2 linked regions of the Drosophila melanogaster genome follow. The protein of the gene in region 2 purifies or fractionates together with the protein of the main gene of each other region. This does not show direct contact. Each region holds a gene or a part of one and is shown on either strand. Other genes may lie near its edges.

Region 1 (10,755 bases), on a different chromosome or scaffold from region 2:
GCGTCTGTTTCCTCGTCGCCCAAGTGCTGCTTCAGGAATTCATGCTTTTGCTTGCAATTCCGGTCAAACATCATGGAGAAAAAGTCGCAACCGATGAGCAGGTATCGAAACTTCTCCAGCACAGAGTTTATCACTTGTCGGGCCTTGGCATTTTGGCGGTACAAGGGATTGCGGGTCAGCTCCTCCTTGGCCTTATAGTAGTAGCCTCGCACACGTGTCTGGGCACGTGTGGCCATAGCTTCCTCCTTAGAGTGGAAGCGCTCCTCGCCGCCCGTGAACCACTCCACGTGCTCGGCCTTTAAGCTGAGGTGGGTCTTGCTGTTATCCAGGACGCGTCGCTGCTTTTGGTGTTCATACTCCGTTATCATGCGGCGGAACTTTTCCGGATGCTGTTCGATAAAATCGTAGAAAATGTCAGCCACCTTTAGCAAAGGCGATTGTTGTCGCATCTTCTCAAACTCAAAATCGGCATCTAATAGAAGACAGATTAATTGTGATTAAGTTAAATATTTAAACTGCAGCTCACCTGTTGTAATGACTGCATCCGGGCCAGACACTATGAACAGCGTCTGGGCGGGTAGGCTTTTTAAGTACTCATCGTCGGACACCTCGAAGCCATCAGAAGCCAAATACAAATGTGGCTCGAGAAGCTAAAAGGTAAAAAAAAAACGATTTAATTGTAATGCCCTTGACATGGCCGAATTATAACGAGGCCAGGTCGCCCAATTCCTGGTTCAGGGGCCTTCAGTTTGTTTCACATTTCTCTTTTTTTTTTTTTGCCAGGCAAGGACGTTCCATCAACAGGTGGTTAGCTCTACTATACAGGACATGCGCATTGGCATTTACTAGTGGCATTGAAAGAGAGCCAAACAAACGCGGAAGCCACTGCCAGGGACATGGCCTTGAAAATTACCAGAGCCAGGAACTTTCAGCCCATCTACGTGGGTGGGTGTATATTTCGCGCTTTTACGCAGGAGTTTTTCCTGTTTTTTTTTTCTTACCGGGAACTTGCTTTTTGCCTTGGCTATCAGCATTTCCAGGGAATTGGCTCCGATTCCGTATTTCCTCGTTCGCTCGTTGTCAGTAACCTTGTAGCCACGCATTGGAGCACCTGCTGTTCCCCTGGATTCGGATGAGCTCACATCCTTGAGAACTTCGCCTGTTGGCTGGCTGCTTTTCTTGTTATTCGAGCTGCTGCGTGTTGTCGGTGACATGATTGCATCTCTAATGTAGCTGATCATCGTTCTGGCTCATAATAAAGTCAACTTTGGAATGTAGTCCTCGCAGCAAGTTTCCTTATCCGCGGACAAAGCAAAATAAACTAGCAGAACAAGGCATTTTTCGCGCTTCTCAACACTAGATTCTCATTGAAAGATTCTTTAGTTGTGCTGCAATTTTAGCTAAAAATTGCAAAAAGCTATATAATAATAATTTATTTTTTCCCGTGTTTTGTAATTAACGAAATATTTTTTATATTTTTATTAATCAATTCAAATTGATAAAATTTTCATTTATTCTTAAATTAAATAATGTGTAAATTAATAAAATGAAAATAGCCAAATTAATAAAATACAAGTTGAACGGCGCATTTCCCACCACTATTGCCTTCAGTGTTTTGCAGCACTTATGCATCTAAAAACAGCTGTTCGGGTAATCATTTTTTTTGTTAAAAGTTTCTGTGGAAAAACTATAACAAACGTAGTCTTAGTGTACAATGATCTGGGCTACGGGCTCCGCGTAATCCGCAGCTCACCCGGAAAGGCGTTTTACGATGAATCTACGGCCGCGATGCCGCAAGTGGCTGCCCCTAGCCACCCAGCAACTTCGACTGCGGAACCTTAACAGAATTCAGGGATTCAATATTGAGTCCTGGCCGCATGAGAAGTCGCTGGAGCTAGATGATCCGGATGATGTGCTCCTCTACTACACACTACACACGGACAAGGCTAGCGAAGCGTTCTACACCAGCGAAAAGCTGCCGCAGCGTCACCAACAGCAAAAGTGGGCGGAGATTTGTACGGACGACGAGGCCTGGCGGAAAACCAATGCGCAGTGTGTCTGTGTCAAGGTGTGGAAGCACTATTCGGCGGAAAGAAGAGATGGCCAACCGCCTGAGGTTGAGCAAAGACATAAGGATGTTTTCGGGTAAATAGGAGACTTTGCTTGCAAATAGAACTCTGCTATCATCAACCAACTTACTTCCAGAAGATCCCAGTTAACGCCCAGCAGGCTGCCACGCCCTCCTGAACTACTGTTCAGCTGGGGCGTCTACTTCTCCGGCCTTATACCTCTGTCTCCCCTCACATTGTCCCAGTGCGGACGAAATTGCTTGGTCTTTCAATTGAATGGCGAGCAATTTGCCTCCCCGTCGATGATAAGCGAGCAGGCCTTGCAGTCGCAGCTGCATTTGCACTACCAAAAGTATGCGGAGGAAGAGAAACTAGAAGAGCCGCAGGATGAGGGCATAAACTCGCCGGCCGTTAGTCGTAGTTCGAGTCCCGTGCTGCGAATGAGTACGATGCGCTATGCACAGCTGAAGTGCCAACGGCAGGAGATTCGGCGAAGCAACAACCTCGAAAAGCTTCTCACGTTGCAACGTCTGCAACGCTTGCATCAGCAGAAGCGGCGTCAAATGGCCGAGGTTTGCCGAGAAATAGCCCGCCTCAGTGTACACTGTGTGACCAGGAACGAGCTGCGCTTGAAGCCCCGCACGACATCGCTGTCCGGCGACTACTCCGCCCATCAGTACCATTCCATGGGCCGCGCCCTGAGCGTGTTGCTCGCCGAGCAGCAGCAGATCGCGCCCCTCACGCTTTATAATGCCCAGCAGCTAACTAGAAGGATAGAAGCGCTAAGCAGTCAACAGCGGCTACTTAAAGCGGAGCGGGAAACGTTTCGCCAACGAAACGAGCGCACCCGTCAACTTCTGAAGGAGATGAGAGAACAGCGGGAGGCACAGCAATGGGAGCTCCACAGCCAGCGACATCGACTGGAAAAAGAACGTCTGGAGCTACGAACCCTGGCACCTCAACATCTGGAACAGCGCGATCAAAAAAGACAAATAGAACGGCAGGTGGGGCTGCGGAATCAAATAACATTAAACAAGTATATTAATAAACCTTTTCACCCTTTTAAGGTGGAGCGCCGAATGTCCACACTGGTGTTGGAGCTACAGGAGATCTATAACATCCAGAATGTGGGCGGTCGGCAATTTAGTATCTGCGGCATCGCCTTCCCCCACATGGAGCAATACACGAGCGAGTCACGTCAGGCGGCAAACGCACAGCTTCTGGATAACGTCTCGCCGCTGGCAGTGAGTGCGGCACTGGGTTATGTTGCCCATTTGGTGCAGATGTTAGCCATCATTATGGATCGACCTCTGAGGAACCGTATTCTGTACGAGCCATCGAAAGCAAGGATAGTGGACGATATCAAAGAGTTGACGTACACAACAAGAGAGTAAGCACACAGACTAAATATTACCTTTTGGTATCTTATTGTTCCATCTTAGATTTCCTCTGTATACACGCTCCATTTTGCCGTCGCAGCAAACAAAGTATGCCATCTACCTTTTGCGCCAGAATGTTTCGCAGCTGTGCTTCGACATCACGGGCCAGTGCGATCTGCGAAACACTTTTGGCAATCTGCTGGAGCTATTCAGCACTCTTCGCTACATCGAACGAACGCAAAGGGATGAGGTCGACGAACGGGATGGAACTGCAGTTGGAGCTGGCTGTGGAGAAGCACGCTTGGCAAATGGGTTGACGGCGCCGCACCTGTCGCAATCGCACTCTTCGGTCGACATGAATCATGTGCCACTGCCGACTGGCGTCAATGCGGTCAAGGATGCACTGCTCCAGCAGCTGTTGCCGCCGGGTGTGAGTGAGGCACTGGCAATCGAAGGCTATGCGTCAACTCAACGGTAATCTATATATACATATATTTAGAGCCAAAAACAAAAACTACCGGATAAAATTTAATAATAATATATTGTAATATTCTTGCAGCATTTGCCGTTCGGTGGGGTCCTATTCAGATGGCGAGGATGAGTTTCGCCCGCGACTGGAGCATAACTATTCCAATTCGGACTCCAACATAACTCTGCAAACTGAGCGCAGCTGAGCTAATGCACCCAAAAGTGTTATATTTCCAGCGTTTATATCCAATATCCAAGATAGCATTGTTTAGCGGCTCCTCCTCAGCGGGTTTCTTGGTATTGGCCGCGTATTGTATACTTTTAAATTATAAAAGTCAATGGTGAAGTATATGTGAACGGTAGTCCATTGCGATAATATTATTTTTAGTTGTTTAAGATCTCTGTGTAAATTCCCTTTTATTGTTTGTTTGCTAATATAAGCTACGAATAAAGATTAAATATTTTATACATGACAAATATTTATTTAATATGGATGACAAACATTAGAAACACGTCGATAGAGATTAAGTCGAACAATATCCAAGGTCACAATAAACGAAGTGGTTACGATGCGGAAAACCTAAGCCTTTCTTCATATGTTCTGAAATAATGCTGAGCCCCAAAATTAGTTTATTTGTATATTCTGTTTGAAAAGTATTTTTATGAGTTTTAATTATAGTTTGAATTAGGCGCCAAAAAGTGTTGCAAAGTATGAAGATAAATTGCTCCTTTAACTTATAAAAATTATACCATGTGCTACTGTTACTACATAATATTGTACAATCTGCTTATATTAACTTTTGCTTTATAATTTAAAATGTAAGTTTTGCTTTAAATCCTTAATAAACTCAAAATATTACAGCCACTGCTTGGTCAGTGCTGCAAAACGTTCCGTTCCGTTAACAGTGGTCTGTAAAGCCAGCTGATTAGCATTTCGCCAAAATTATTTCGCTGGCAACTTGCTTCCGGGATTTGAATGTTTTTCGGGCTACATCCGGGCTATTAATAAATAAAAAATGTGTTGTCAAATACCCAAACAACGTCCAAACGTAGTGCGATAATCGATTTAATAATTGAAAACGCGAAAAGCCTGCAAACCAACGTGCTAAATGAAGTGCATGTGCATATGTGTGTGTGGCCCGGGCCTTGGCCTTTTATTTATCGAATTCGTATCAATTAAATTAAAACGCTGAGCAATAGTAGGCAATTGGTATTTATGGTGACGATTTGGTAGCCGGCAACTGTAGCCACTGATAAGCGGACGACGGGGAATGCCTGTGATTTACGCGTATATATAGTGTGTTTACCCTACCTGTTTACCGCTCAAATAAAAAATAAAAGAATAAAACTCCAGGTGTGATAAGGAGCAGCCGTCGTTCACGCCTGAAAATTGCTCAATGGAAACGTGGCAATAAGACTAACTGAGTACCCAGCATTTAATTTTTCTGAGATAATATCATCTGAAAGTGAGAGTAAAACTGCATTTCTGGTGCTAATTAGTTAAATTCAGGCGCCAAAACTCTTTCGAACAGCTCTTTTAATCAAAACTTATTACTTTAAGCTGACTACGCTTGCTCTCTTTTAAGCTCTCTTGTTTTGAAAATGGCTGAGAGCAATGTACCGCTACGAGATTTCGACGAAGAGAGCGAAACGGATTCGGAGACCGAATTGCTCATACGCCGCGATGTACCGAGCGGTAAACAGAACAACAACAACATTAGGGGGCGACGCAAAAGCTCCATGGGCTACAGCGGCGTCGACGCCGGCGCTGGCAGCTCTGCCGCCGGCGGCGGAGGCAGCTTTCTGGGCAATCTTTTCGGATCCAACAGTTTTGGCTCTGCCGCCGGCCAGATACGTTATAGAAATGAGCGGAGTCGCGAGCGCGCCAAACACTCAAACGGTAGCTACAGCAGCATTTCGAAACTGGCGCAATTAACGCACACGTCATCGGGCGTCGCGGGGGCGGGATCGATCGGTGGCGGTGGTGGTGGGAGTGGCAGTGCCACCGGCATTAAAGTAACCACTGGCGATGGCAGTGTAGCGGCATCTGGAGGATCTGCTGCCACGGGGGATCTCAGCAATGGCGCTACGCACAGCACAACCGTCATAGATCCGGAAAATGGCTCATCCACGGTCTTCTACCAGCACAATCGGCGTAAAAGCAAGAGTCGCAGCATTGGCAACGTCTGCAAGTTGTGCCTCTGCAGGTGAGTGTGCATTCGGTGCGATCCAGTCGTTACCCTCCAATGCCAACGCTGCGTATGCGCAATATTTCCATTTCACTGCTGCAATAGTTGGCGGCAGCGGGAGTAATGCGAAAGTATATAGTGCCGCAACAGCTGTTCACTGGCCAGCAAAATATTGGGAATTCAAGTGTTACCTTTAGGGAAAATGGTTAAATGTTTTATATTTTCGCACATAAGCGTTTAATGGCGATTGAGACCCTTTTACTTTTACCACAAGGTATTGAATAAATTATAACTATAGCAGGAAGCAAAAGTTTTAATCTATCACATTAAGACCTCGAAAATTTGTATATTTTTGAAGAAATATTATCTCTTATCGCTTCAATTTAAATGTCTTATGAAATAAATTAGTTTTGTGGAATTTTATAATCTGTGTTTCCGTAGATAGTTGACTTTGAACGTAGAATACCATTGCTCATAAAATGCTGACAACACTAGGTATAAAACTGTTTTTCATCGTAAACTTCTATAAATAATTGAAATGTATATTAAATATTTGGCAAGAAAAAACGTTGACCTCTGTAACGTTCTAGACATTCTATCACTTTCGCAACTCAACAGTTGTTATGGCAAACAAGTTGTTGTTTTGTTTCTGCCACTTGAAATATTTGTTTATTATTTTTTGGCATGAGCCAAATCATTGTGTGGTTTCCCAAAATGAGCAGCGTTGTCTTGCAATTTGATGTTCTTCTTAACTTAGAACTTTTACGAAACACATTTCCAAGAAAATAAATTCTAGCTGAATGTGTGAGAATTTGTGCGCCACACATGTGTGACATACACAATGAATGCAACTGTATGTAAAGCATATATGTATAGCATATATATATAACGATTCCAAGATATATTTTTAATTTACCTAATTAGAGAGAACTTTTGAGAAAGGCCGCACATGCGAACAAGCAAGCACGTCTGTAAGTGGATCGTAGAAAGAAAATTAAAAACATTTCGTTTTCTGCGCGCCGTCGACGGACTGTGCAAATCGATAAACGTGACGACTTCCAAGACTGGGGGAAAAGATTTCGACGAATGGAAAATAATAACAAAAACACGGCTATAAATAGTGGCCAAGACGAGCGACTTGGTTGGGTGACAAGGCATAAACGAAACGCAAACATTGCCATCCATGCCCCGCCTTTCCTTGCCATTTCCTTGCTCCACACCCACTAAGCGAGCGTTTTTCTTATTATTTTGTTTTGTTTTTGTTTTAGAGTACAAACTCTTGTTGCCGCAAAACTTTGGCCAAAAATATCACACACAACACCACCCGTTAGCTGTGCATTTTTAATCGATGTTTGCCGTGCGACTTTAAGCCCCATTGGTGGGCGAACGAAAATAAGAAACATGAACGAAAACGACTCAAGAAGTCACCAAGAAATGCTAAAAAATTCGAAAACCAGTTCCTCAGCTGGTTTTGGCCACACAACACAATCTTGTATTCAAGGTTTCTAAAAAATACAAACGAGTTGCACACAAGAAGTGAGTCGCTTTAGGGTTTTTAGTTTTACTTTTTCGGTCGGACTCTGCTTTCTGTGTTAAAAATTGAAAGTTTCTCTGCCGCCCAACTTCAAATAATTGCAGCATAGATCTGCAGATTGATATGGTTATTTAAACTTCTAAATTTTCTATGTTGACAAAGCGTTTCCTTATGTGAACATCTATTTGTCACTTGAATGTGAAAAAAGTAAACATTGACAAATACTGATATAGAAATCGACAAAAGTGGGAAAAGACAATAGCAAGTCAGAATGGCTGGACGCGAGGGCGGTAAGAAGAAGCCTCTAAAGGCGCCCAAGAAGGACTCGAAGAATCTAGACGAGGAGGACATGGCCTTCAAACAGAAGCAGAAGGAGCAGCAGAAGGCTATGGAGGCGGCCAAGGCAGGTGCCTCCAAGAAGGGACCTCTTCTTGGCGGCGGTATCAAAAAGTCCGGCAAAAAGTGATCCATTGCCACACCTTCATCTGTATATCTTGGCATATTCAAAACACACCAATGTGGACCAACTTTTATTATCCCTTGAATTGAAGTCTTCACGTTATTGTACAGCAAATTACTGAAAAAACATATAACTTTTGGTGTTTGGTATTTGTCTTCATCTCCAAATTCAATACTTCAATGTCATTTTTTGCCTTTGATGTGCGTCTTTAACTCGTTATCGCCCACTGACCACGAAAATATCTTGAAGCCTTTACACATTCAACTTCTCCTCAAGGTTTCCTTAATCAAAGCCTAGCTGTTTTCGGGGCGCTCGAAACTTTTCTCGGGTTTTTCGTTACATTTTGTTCACGCTCAACTCCAATTGCCGCCGTTTCGGTTATATGAGGCTCAAAGATTTCGACAGGCCGATTAGAATTGCAAAGTGAGGCGCCATGCGGCACAATTTGGTTGGTGTGATTGTTGTTGCCACGGTGGCCACTGTGGTGGAACCAGCTATCTTCCAAAAATATTCCATTGCTCTATCAAGTGAGAGAGCTACTGATAACCTAAGGTGCTTGTCTTTTACAAGGCAAGTAACTTGGATTACTTACTAAATTTCAGTTAAATTTTGAAAACAGTTCAATAATCTCCTGAAGTCTCTAATCAATCACTTAAGCTAATTGTAATGGCTACAACCAAAGCCATTACCACCAGCTGACAAAAAAACTTTTCCCAAGCTTTTTTCACTTAGCCGCATCCAAATTAGTGCGCCACGCCCCCCAACCCCCCTGACCACCCTCGTGGACGCCACAAACTGTCAATGGTAACGCCTAATGTTATTATTTTCTAGTCGCCGTTAGCTGTTTATCTAGTTGCGAATGCAAATGGCTGGGAACAGAAAAAGCCATGGCAAAACCGGGGGCTTGGAGGCTTGAGCGGTGAAATGCCTCAACGATTGACGCCCGCAACTTGGCCTGGCATTGTTTTCCACCCACCGGCAATGTGGGTTAATAACCAAAAGGCAGAAGGCAGAAGGCGGCGCAAGTCACACTATTCATGGCTCACCTCATTCCAATCCGGTTACCCGTGAAAGGGTATATTGTACACGTGTTAGCGTTCCACTCCCGCCCGAATAGCCAACCATATTTGCCTTTTTCCGCAATCGCCATATGTGCATATGGTACATATAGCAATATGTACATTTTCGCTTTTCAAAAATAATAATATATTATCGCTAGCCAAAGTTGCAGTTCATTTGAGGATTTTACAAAATTTCCGTGATGTAAGCTCAAGAAACTGGAACAAAATAATTAGTAATCCATAAAATATTTATGTACAAGTACTAATGAGTAAAGCAGCCGTTCGATTTAAAAAAAATAATATTTTTAAATAATTCATATTTTTGAATTTAAGCTGGTATGACTGTAAAGTAATATATTTAAGGGTTTTTAAGCCTGATAAGTATAAGTAGCAAGTAGCTGTAGGTAATTGTAATATATACAAAATAAAAAATAACTCAAATTTCTAGCTATAGGTCATTTTAAACACATTTCTGAGCCCTCAATTATGTAGTTTACTTGTGAAAAAACTTGTAAATAGTTTTCTTTGTGGCACACAGCCAATAAATAAAAACGGCTGAAGAAGTTTAAAGGAATAAGCAATGAGTAACCGATAGGCTATGCATAAATAACACAAATCATGTACTCGTGTACTTAGAAAAAACTATATCAGTGAAAAATAGTTTTTCCCCTGACAATTTCGTGGCTTTTTATGTTTGATAAACGGGGTTTCGGTTAAAAAGAATTTTAATGGGCTTAAATGAGTTTTGTTTCATTTTACATGCAATAATTTTCAGCTTTTACAAACCAAAGTAGTATTCGAATCTTTTATTATTGTTTTGATCTGGGTCAAAGATAATGCAATGCTATCAAGCCACAGAACTGATAAAAATATTTATCTTATACACCCATTTAAAAGATTTTCATTCGATATAATTATATGTCATCCATATCCACAGCTCTATTATTCTTATATGTATGATATTAAAACGTAAAGTTTTTAAATTATAATTGTTTATTTTCAAGTAATAGCGTAAAACGTGCATTTTTGAATCATTAAAAATGGGAGATCAAAAACTTGAAATCTCGAAATTTATAATGCCGAAAATGTGCACACTTGCAAAAATCTCGTTACTAGCAGCTGGTTAAATATATATTTAATAGGAAAGGCGGAAAACAATATTTGCTTGAGAAGTAGCATGGAATCCAAACTGCTGAGGTCTACAATTCGTTTTGAAATTTCCAGTTAATTACTCAGAACGAAACGAATTGCGGCAATTGTTTGTTATGGCCACTGCAATTGTTGACGATTGCATTTCAATTCAGTGGGTAGACAGGATGAGATACCTCAGCTGAATCGCAGTTCGATTGATAAGCGAGCATCTAAAAATGGCGAAAATACAATAAAAACGCATCTAGGCGTATTTAACGAGCGTGACACATATCGGGATTATGGCGGAGCCCCAAGGCTTCGGCGGTAAGAGCGCTGACTTTGAAGTGCAGCATGAGTCATACAGGTGAGCTAATTCTGCTGGCCCTTTTGTTTTGTCTGTTGCTGTAGCAGACTGGTCGTTGAACTTTCCCTTAAGCATTTTTGGCAACTTTTTCTTATGAGAT
Region 2 (10,755 bases):
GCACAGCACCAAGCAGAGCATTCGATTATGGTGGCAATATGCCTACAAGTGCGTCACGCCCTCCGCCTCGGCCGGTGCCGTCTGGAATCCGAATCTGAAATTCCGGCTCTACTGCAGCCGGCAGCTGCGCATCCGGAAACTGAGACGTGGTCCGTGGTCCAGGAGGCAGCCACTCCGGCTGCATATAAATGACATCAAACTGATGTGCCAGGTGCGCAGGCGCAGTAAATAAATGAGGCGATGGCAAAGCCCTAAATGATCTGAAAAAATTCCATTATACGAATTATATGTTATCAAAGTTTAGTCGAATTTCACAGAAAATTCTGTTTGAAATTTGAACAATAAACTTGGCGCCATTTATCGATAGACCAAGCCAACCAGTTCTGCAAACGGTAAAATTTTATATTTTATAAGTACCAATTTTAAAACACTTTCTATTATTGTATTAAAACGTCTCATCATTTTCTTTATTTTGTTGAACTAATACTTTTTGGTTCAATAGTCTTCCCAAAAATTAAATAATAAGTGCTTGTAAATAAATATGAACTTGTTTATTTTGCCTTTAGCATGGAATTACATCCAAAGAAACAGAAAATAAATATATTAATTCTTAAATAGATATCTTTTATGTAGCAAACAAGAAGTCAAGGATATTTAATTTTCAAACAAAAAAAGTGGGAAAACGAGGAACATTTTATCAATACGATTTTGAAACAAAATGAATTTCGCGCGTTGTTCATAAGCAAATTGGAATCAATTATTAAGGAATTATAATTATTATATTTAATCCCTACCAACTTATAATAGCTAGGCATATTACACTTTAAATTGTGCTTCATTGATTGAGTACAATTGCAAGCACTTAATTCAATAAAACGCAATTGAAAATGGTCCGCCAGTGTCCTGTGTCCTTCAGTGAGTTACACGGTTGAGTAAATATATAGTAGTGCATATGCGATACGTCTATATAGTTATGTTTTAGTAATGCTGATGTCCTAAGTGAAGTCTATTTAAATGCCACAAGTTCGGTGATGTGTGTCCCAATCGCTCAGCTATAACGAATGTATTATAAAAGATAGGTAAACATGAGTACTTTTCCTTCAATGCGTCACTGGATAAAACAATTTAAAAAAATGCATAAAATACATAATAAATCCTACAATGCTTACCTGGCATTCACGACTGCAGTACCATTGATTCTGACAGTTGGAGCACATAAAGGTGGCTCCATAGAGCTTGCACTCGTGGCATTGTCTACCTGTGTTACCGTTGATGGTGGCGGAAGATTCAGCCTGGGACTTATGGGAGCTCCTATGCTTGTGAGACTTGTGCTTATGCGACTTGCGCTTGTGAGACTTGTGCCTCTTTTGGACATTCTCATGGTCGTTGATATTAGCGGAATGTTGTTCTTGGTAGGACTGAATAGAAACATTTATTTTCGCGGAATGTCAAAAAATATTGTGATTAAGTGCATACCTGTCTATTGGCCAGTTGGCGACGGGAGGCCATCGGACTGCTGTTGAACAGCGGTTCGATCTGTGATTCATTATCCGAATTATTGTCCTCCATTGAGACGTTACTAAAATGCGAATAATTTTTCCAAGCCCTAATCTTGCGAAGCGTCTCTGAAAGATTGGCTGACAAATGTGTCGAGGAGCTTGCCATGTCCTGGTTACTATAAATTATATGACGTTAAAATAATATGTTCTAGTATATTATTTGTATTTTCTCACCTGTCTTGCGAGTGGATTAGCTTCGGTCGCTTGGCTGGCGGATCTCTGTCTGGATTGCTATCTAGCAGATGGTCATTTACCGCATTCCGAGATTCGTAATGCTGATCCCGCATTGATAGATGACTTACGGGCAAGGAATCTCTACGAAAAAGCATTTGGTCATCCTCGAAATTGGCCGGAGACACGGACGGTGCGCGTTTATTTAAGCCCAAGGAACTGAAAACGATCAATTTTAACTTGGGATTCTCAGAATTAAACATTTAAAGATTTACCCCCGCAGAAGCTGTATGATGTTCTGGTTTAACTCGGCGTAATTCAGTAATTTTTCAATTGCCGACAAACTATGTTTGGAGGCCATTGGAGAATCGATTTCCTCTTCTAGCATAGCCTTTACCTCACTGAGCTCCTTGGTGCCGCACTTGTTGATAAGGATGGGCAGTAGGTCCTTAATACGTATCAAGCGCTCCTTTCGCTCCATTCGTTCATGCAGCTCCTTCTTAATGCAGCTCAAATACAGCAGTCGGTTATATTCATCCTCTTTCTGGGCCATCAGCTTATCTAGGGCTGCAAGATCCGCAACGATGCGTTCGCGCTCTTTTTTCAATGAATCTTCATCAGGGGGTACCGAGTTAATTTTATCAATCATTGTCGAGTTCAATTCATCGAAAAGTTCTTTGACGCGATAATGGAAGTTTGCATCACTATTATTGAGATCAACGAATGACTTTTGGCGGGTTGTCGAAGAAGAAGCCGCTGGTGACCCCAAGCCCTGCGTCTGGGTGCTCACCGTTTCCGATCGACGGGGTTGCGGCTGTTGGGGCACCGCAAAGTTGGGAGCAGCCACTGGAACAGGATGCAGTTGAGATGGCGATTGATGGACCTGCTGTGATTGGGCAAGCTGATGTGGACTAGCATGCCTTTGAGGGGTCAACGGCTGCACCGAAGCTGGTCTTGATGAATCTGGCTGCTGTGGTGGAGGAGCTAGCTGCTGTGGTGGAGGAGCTAGTTGCTGTGGTGGAGGAGCTAGCTGCTGTGGTCGAGGCGCTAGCTGCTGTGGTGGAGGAGCTAGCTGCTGTGTTGGAGCTAGCTGCTGTGGCGGAGCCATATGTTGTGGTGGAGCCATATGCTGTGTGGGAGCTCGCTGTTGTGGCGGAGCCAGCTGCTGTGGCGGAGCTCGCTGCTGTGGCGGAGCTCGCTGCTGTGGTGGAGCTAGCTGCTGTGGTGGAGCTAGCTGCTGTGGTGGAGCTAGCTGCTGTGGTGGAGCTAGCTGCTGTGGCGGAGCTAGCTGCTGTGGCGGAGCTCGCTGCTGTGGTGGAGCTAGCTGGTGTGGTGGAGCTAGCTGGTGTGGTGGAGCTAGCTGCTGTGGCGGAGCTCGCTGCTGTGGTGGAGCTAGCTGGTGTGGTGGAGCTAGCTGGTGTGGTGGAGCCAGCTGCTGTGATGGAGCTAGCTGCTGTGGAGATGGTCTATGTTGAGCCAGGTGCCGTGGTGGAGCGAATGGAGCTGTAGCCAGTTGCTGTGGAGGAGCTCGCTGCTGTGGTGGAGGAAGCTGCTGCGGTGGAACTGATCTTGGGAAGTGCATCTGTTGCACGGGGGCTTGTTGTAGTGGAGCAACCTGAGATGGAGCTCTCTGCGCGAGGGCAGCCACTTGTGGTGCAGCAGCATAGGATGCAGCGACTTGGGATAAAGCTGTCTGTTGAATCGAGAAAGTCGCATTAGCTTTCATGTTATTTGACAGCTTTTCGTTGGGATAGGATATCTGCATTTGGGTGGCCGTTGGCGGTGGAGTATTTAAACTGTAAGTGTCAGCTTGCTTGGCGGCAGTAGGCGGAGCCAGGGTATACGGTGTGCTCAGCTTAAAAGCCTGCTGACGCTGAAGAGGATTAGTCGATGGAGTGGTGGGCATTCTTAGATTTAATGGTGGAGCTGCCTCCATTGGCTTCTGTTGCTGCACCGTTGAAAACCCAATTATATTATCATCCTCGACTTCATTGTTGCGCTTCTCTTCGCTAGCGGGCGGTGTTACCGAACGGCGTCTTTTAAGAGTGGCATCAACCACAAGCGACTCTGCCTCATTTGGCGCATCTCGCGACCGGTCCTTTAGAGCCTGTTCCAATTCCCGACACGCTGAGAGTTTACCGTAGTCGAAGACCGGTTCCTGGGGATCCTTCTTTACCAGGAACTCGTCGAGGATAGAGGCACCGTTTTCGTTGTTTCCAAGTGGGTTTGCTTTCTTCCTTTCTGGCAGCTCGTAGTTTAGTTGGGGTGGAGCCGGAAGCGTAGGCTTATTTTCCTTGATGGGCGTAACCCTTGCCGGCTCTTGCTCTGGTTTCTCAGGCGAATCCTCGTTCTCCGTGTCGTCAAGGCAAATGAGTTCCGGCGAACCACTGCCGCTGCGGCTGCGAGAATAGCTACGACTACGACTGCGACTGCAACTTCGGCTAAGACTGCGGCTGTGGCTGCGACTACGACTGATGCTCCTGCTGTCGTAGGTTCTGCGCTGCCTGTCATGGAAGCGAACCAGGTGCTTCAATTTACGCTTGGGCAGCAAGTCCTTCAGGCCGTCAAAATAGCTGTTGTAGTCCATTTTATTGGGTCGCAGCCTGAAGTGTGATCGGATAAGATAGGATTACAGTTTCAGTAGGTTCTTTGGGAAGTAAGCCTTACCAACGAATACTGCGACGCTTGAAGTAAAGATTGGGCAGCCTGCCACGCTGTAACTGCAATTGCCGGATCCGCCGAATTGTTTCTGAGCGCGTGGAAGGTGGCACCGCATCGTCATCTGGCTTTTCATTTTTCTCAGTGGCAGCCGCCGATTCTGGAGCTCCATTTCCGGGTTTCTCGGACTCGGATCCCTTGGATTTTGTCTTTTGGGGTCGTTGCTTGCTCACCGCCGCGTCCATTAGAGCGTCGTATTCCTCCTCCTCGTGGCTATACTCGTCGCTACTTAGCTGCGAATTGGAGGAGTCGTAGATCTCGTTGGACATTAGGCCTGCAACTGGACGACGGTCAGGTATGTACATCTTTTGGCATTAACCCCCTCAAAAACTCACGCGCTCACGTCTGCAAATTTTTGGCCAACAAAAAATCGTCTGCCGGTTGAATATTCTAATCCGCCGACGGGCTCACCTTTTCAGTTGCTGAAAACCACTTAAAACAATGGCCCAAGTCCCCAAATAGGCTAATTCGGGTTTATACCAGTTTTAAAGCGTTTACTTTCAGCAAAAATCCAATTTCCAAATGCGAAAAAAAATTCGCCGTTCAATTCTGCGAATAATTTTGACAGGCATTTAGTATGGACGCAAACCAATAGGGTAACCACTTTTGGGAAAGTCTTTAAATAATACTGAATAAAATATGTTCTTCCAACTAGTTCTTAGTTAGGTAAACCAAGCAAACAAATTTTTAATCTTATTAAATTAAAGTAATCTAGTAATCTTATTAAATATTACTAGTTTCGGGGTATTCGGTCATTTCATATCTAAAAACCAAATAACTATATTAGAATAAGTTACTCACTAGAGTTTCATTTTTTGATTTATGGAAAAGTTAGCGTAGATCAAAAATCAATCATTAATAAGCTATAAGTTGTAGTGCAGATCGTTAGCCAAATTATTCAGATTTCCTTTACAACATTGCAACCTGACAGCCCTGGTGGCAAATATTAAATATTGAAAAATACTAAAGGCAAAAGTGGCGATTTTCCGTTTGTTCACCGGTGTCATCGTCATTGCACTCGAACGGTCATACCGTTTGGCTTACAAAAGAAAACAAATCAATTCGCACAAAAACATTGCCAAAAAGGTAAATGGCGGGCACGACGCCGCCGAGTGATAACCATATAGTAGTGACCAGTGTTTAGCAACCGATTCCCGCCCAGTGACACTCGTAAACAAAGGGCACGACCGACAGTGTCTGTATATATATGTGCATATGCGTAACAGGGAATAACCGATAAGAACGGCGCAGCTGCAGATAGACATACCTTTAAATAGGACTTTGTTTATTGATCGTTTGTGGGTGGCTATTGCCTTGCAGATCGCGAACTGATAACCATAAATGTTAACCACGTCACGCCACCCCACGCCTCTCCCAAACACACACACTCGCACACGTGCGCCAGCTGAGCACATGCATACGTATATGCATGCTCACACGCACACAATCGCATGGTCGTGCACAAGAACTCTTTTGTTGTATGTAAAGTGGACGATCGAAAAAGTAAACTAATTCAATACAATGGGTTCAGCAATCAACGTCGGGGTCACCAATTGAGTGCATCAAAAATACAATCAATTCGGCCCGGCGAATTTTCGGTTGATTCAGCTAATGGCGGTGTGCATAAGAAATGGCATGAAAAGTACTCCTTTTTTCATTGGATTTAAATCCCATTATCATAGGAAGAAATAAGAAATTTAAAAAAAGCAGTGCTTGTCAACTGAATGCATTCATTTCTATTACAAAAACGTAGTGCGTTCCATTGTGCATGTAAATATATGCAGTCCCAGTTTTATATTACGTGTCAAAACAAAAGATTGACCTTTATCATTGGTCGTTTTACAACCATTGTTTATAACTTTGTAGAAATACAAATAAAAACTTCTTTGATAAACTTTATCCGCTGACATGTTTTAAATCATAATTTAAGTAAATCATGATCATTTAAATAATAATCTCAATATATAATACCTATTACTTTAGTTTATTTAAAATCCGAAAATCGTTTCGAAACTTATTTAAATTTGCTTAAATTGAAATATCTAAAATATCCGAAGCCAAGTATTATTTAATAAGAAATATGAATAGCTAAACGCCTTAATGAAATGATTTAATTAGTTTAAAGTTTTAAAGTTGTCGTTTTTACTCATAATTAAAACGGTCGTAAAACTTTAGTACTTTTTTAAAACATCTCCATGTACAAAATGTAAAAAATGACACCTAACTGTCATCAATTTTTTGCTAAACTGTTTGCACACTTTGGTCCCCATAAACCCACTCATTCTAAAGATTATTGACTTTCGCGAGCTTCCACTGTGAAGTGCGAGTATCTGCCCCATAATGACTATCCGTCGGACAGGCGGACTTTGTCCACAGCGGCTGTAGCTATTTCCAACGGAGAAGTCATCGATTGGCCAAGGCTGATTAGATTCCTCCTCCGGCAGCGGCCTTAGCAAAAGCTATAGCCTATAGGGCTATGGGCTATAGCTCCCGCTGATATCTGGCGAATATCTCTGCCGTGCGGCGGTTGCCCCAGTCCATTGCCAGCTGGTGGTGCAGGTGGTTGCCTTCCCGGATTTCACGATTTCTTTTAACTTGGCCGCGTGCTTTTAATTGAAGAAAACGCAGCTCTTGTGTGAGTGCGGGACCTTGTGTAGTGGTCATAAACTAGGTGTTCCACCGTTGGGACCATAAAGTGCGGGTTTACGAGCACTACCGGGAGAACAACCTACAATTAAAGTAGTGATTACGTAAAGACAGCCGTTTTATTGGTTAAACATCGCTATTTGCAGATCAAAATGGGTTCCCTGGAGAAGCTGAAACAATTGAGACTGATACACCTGTGCATCGCGCTCACCTTCTTTACCAGCGGGCTGTGCATCAACTTTATCCAGCTGCTGATGCACGTCTTTATCAAGCCCATAGACAAGCGACTCTTCCGCAAGTTGATGTACTATGCCTGCTATTCGCTTTACTCCCGTGAGTATATCCTGACCAGTTCCGATTCGAAGTAGAAACATAATACCTCCAATCCCTTAGAACTTATCTTCGTGTCCGATTGGTATGCCGGCAGCAAGATGACTGTCTACATGGACAAGGAGGACTTCGAGAAGCATGCCGGCAAGGAACACGTCCTTCTGATCATGAACCATAAATACGAGATCGATTGGCTCAACGGCTGGATGATCTGCGAAAAGTTGGGCGTGCTGGGCAACTGCAAGGCCTATGCGAAGAAGGCAATCCGCTACGTGCCCATCATCGGCTGGGGCTGGTGGCTGGCCGAGTTCGTCTTCCTCAATCGAAACTTCGACCAGGACAAGACCATCATCACCGAACAGCTCAAGGTGGTCTTCTCCTATCCCGATCCCACCTGGCTTTTGCTCAACGCCGAGGGCACTCGCTTCACTCCCGCCAAGCACGAGGCATCCGTAAAATTCGCCCAGGAGAGGGGCATGACGGTGCTGAAGCACCATTTGATCCCGCGCACCAAGGGATTCACCGCCAGCTTGGCACCCATCCGCGGTCTCTGTCCGGTAATCTACGACATTAATCTAGCGTACAGGCCCACAGATAAGGTAATTATAACGGCAAACTTCAAGCACTTCATTTAAGTGCTTTAGTTATATAATACTGTATTTTATTGTGCCATACATTTAATGCAGAATTCTGCATGGCAAAGCTTCTCATGTATATTTTTGATAAGGCTAATCAGCCTGTTCGACAATACCTGTCTGATTGCTTTGGTCTAATCAAATTTCTTTTCGTTTAATCCGATTATTTTGCTCATTTACTTCACTGCCTCTTTTAAGAGTCACGATTTCTTAAGATCGATGCTCTTAAAGATACCGATTAGAATGAGCAAACATTTCAAGGTTAATCAAGTGGTAATTTTTATAACTTATTTTCCTTATTTTGGTTTATTTTCCTTACCTTTGACGTGTCATCAGTATTATTAGCACTTTAGCCAGCATAGCAACCTTAATTTTTTAACTGAGTAATTTGGCGTTCTAATGATAAGTGCATAGAATTTAGCAAATTGCAAATTTATTATGGTTTTAAATTAAACTCGCAGAAGTGAGTTATAAAAGATGCTTATAAAGATACTACAGTTTTAGCTACTAAAAGGCTATTTACCGGACTTAATTAACTTGCAATTGAACTTTCAGACCCCCGCCACAATGCTGAGTTTGCTGCATGGAAAGAGCGTGGAACCGCACCTGCTGATGAGGCGTATTCCACTGGAACAGGTTCCGGAGGATGAGAAGGAGGCGGCCGCCTGGCTGCAGAACCTGTTCGTGGAGAAGGACAAGATCATCGATAGCTTCCTGGAGACGGGCAGCTTCTTTAAGACGTCCGGCATAAAGGAGGTTCCGGCATATGTGAATAAACGCCGGCTGTGCTCACTCGTGAACTTTGTCTGCTGGGCGGTATTCTCTCTGTCCTGCATTTTCTACTACGTGATCACATCCCTGCTGGCGGCCAACTGGACGGCCTTTATCACCGCACTTTCCGTCCTGGGACTTTGTAAGTTTGGGGTTCGATCTTTAAGGAGGATGGCACTTTAGACGGCATTAGCCGTTCATTCTTTAAGTTTTAAGAACTTTTTGGAGTGTTAAATGCTAAAGTTCATATATAATGACGTCTGCATGGTTATAACAATAATATAAGCCGCGTTCTAATGTGTTCCTACTCCCTCCAAAACCTTAACTTTTGTAAATCTTATTAATATTCTTTTTTTCTTGTTACAGTTTACTGGCTCATGGGTCAGGCCATCAACAAGACGCAGATCAGCAAGGCATCTAATTATGGATCCTCCAAGTCGGTCGCAAAGTAACTTTCGAATTCGCATTTAGTTTCGATTGTCGTCGAACTCAATTATCTACAAATGACTTTGTAAAAGGCAGTCCTCTCACAAATCTCTCTGCTAAATGGATCAATTCGTGATTCCTATCCGGACGATTTAAAGTGTTTTGCATGTTTTTCTTGTCTAAGTTTATAGTTACGAAGTAACTCCCGCACACTGGAGCCATCAATTTGCGTACGTAGTTGGTAGTTGTACACCTAAGTGGAAATTTAATTGTTTGATCAATTGTATTTTGGCGAGCATTGCAATAATTAAATTAAACAGAACGTGAGAGCGTGAGTTTGTTGTTGTTGTTTTTTGATAAGGCGTAAGGTAAGCAGTGCGCTGATAAGGGCTGCTGATAAGTGTGGACATGCAAGCAGTGCACCTAAAGAGTGACCTTAACACAAAATACCAACAGTATTTCTAAACTGGATACTTGAAAATTACACACATACGTGTGTAAAATAAATGTAAAATTTCGAATACATTGTTTTTGAGATTCCCAGAAATGCTTTCAAAAGTTACCTTTTGAACAGGAAGGAAATGAGCAATAAGCAAAGCATATTATCCAAATATTTGTGTTTATCAGCATTCTTCCTACACGTTCGTTTCTTTATCAGTTGTAACGATCAGAAGCAGCACACGTTCCGTTAGTTCGACTGCTTGCCCTTGGCTATATGATCAATACAACCACACGCCAAGCATAAAATCGCCTTTATTCGCCGATAAGCAGTGTCGCCCATTCCAATTGACTGATAACAGGTGATTAAAAGTGTTAGTTGTGGGTTTCTGGGTTGTACTATCGACGAGATCCATATCACTAGGGGCTCGGGCCGCCTAGAAGAGTCACTTTCATTCAGTCGAATTCTACTGGTTGGTAGAACAAGTTGCAACTTCCTGGTCTCTAATTGTTAAGATTCCGCTTAGATAGGTGAGTGAGTGTGTGTGTAAATGAGAAAGTGGACTGTCGCAAAGTGAAACTGAAACGTGTTGAGTTCAAAAACTAGTTGTACTTATGGCATTGTCATTATCATTGCTTCTACCAAATTTGATAAAACAAAATGAGGATTGTACAGCTTAGTTCGATTTTCCTCGTCGAACTATGCAATAAAAAATATCTTAGTTAATTATGAAATGCGTTGTACTGTTTTCCCGATCCAACGATAAGAATTCAAATTACTAGTGTCTACTGTACCAATACCGTGTGTTGCGCGTGGGTGTGTGTGCGTTTACGGTACTATAATTTAAGCATTTCAATTTTCATGACACATTGGGAGCAAAGTTTGAGTACTGGCCATATAATAAAATGTCGATATCGCGCGCTGGACATATTTATGAACTGCATTGCAGACATGACTTTCGATTACGTAAACGTTTCTCCAACGGACTGAATTTATTGAGTTGCGTCTATTCTTAGCCTAGGATGTCGCATCTCCGGGGTTTGGGGCGACTGCTGATCGC

The links. The genes of interacting proteins can lie anywhere in the genome.
Region 1: the proteins of Agpat3 (region 2) and CG31729 purify together in Drosophila melanogaster (affinity purification with mass spectrometry, with the first as the bait; one large-scale study listed by BioGRID). This does not show direct contact.

What each region holds. Positions count from the first base shown.
Region 1 is NT_033779.5:13,285,169-13,295,923, forward strand, and holds the start of CG31729 (uncharacterized protein), read left to right. Parts: upstream 1-4,828; 5' UTR 4,829-5,518; coding exon 5,519-6,123; intron 6,124-7,840; exon of another isoform or gene 7,841-7,910; coding exon of another isoform or gene 7,911-8,105; exon of another isoform or gene 8,106-8,247; intron 8,248-10,461; exon of another isoform or gene 10,462-10,590; coding exon of another isoform or gene 10,591-10,655; intron 10,656-10,755. Other genes in the region: Drep4 (DNA fragmentation factor-related protein 4), read right to left, coding at 1-472, 527-650, 1,002-1,241; Uvrag (UV-resistance associated gene), read left to right, coding at 1,772-2,145, 2,206-3,073, 3,137-3,459, 3,512-3,922, 4,008-4,122; CG16824 (uncharacterized protein), read left to right, coding at 7,911-8,105.
Region 2 is NT_037436.4:16,380,599-16,391,353, reverse strand, and holds Agpat3 (1-Acylglycerol-3-phosphate O-acyltransferase 3), read left to right. Parts: upstream 1-5,544; 5' UTR 5,545-5,899; coding exon 5,900-5,926; intron 5,927-6,874; exon of another isoform or gene 6,875-7,187; intron 7,188-7,240; coding exon 7,241-7,427; intron 7,428-7,487; coding exon 7,488-8,023; intron 8,024-8,421; exon of another isoform or gene 8,422-8,522; intron 8,523-8,614; coding exon 8,615-8,972; intron 8,973-9,196; coding exon 9,197-9,282; 3' UTR 9,283-9,582; downstream 9,583-10,755. Other genes in the region: CG44836 (uncharacterized protein), read left to right, coding at 2-232; RAF2 (RING-associated factor 2), read right to left, coding at 1,011-1,052, 1,170-1,418, 1,477-1,675, 1,734-1,949, 2,006-4,333, 4,398-4,717; Agpat4 (1-Acylglycerol-3-phosphate O-acyltransferase 4), read left to right, coding at 10,718-10,755.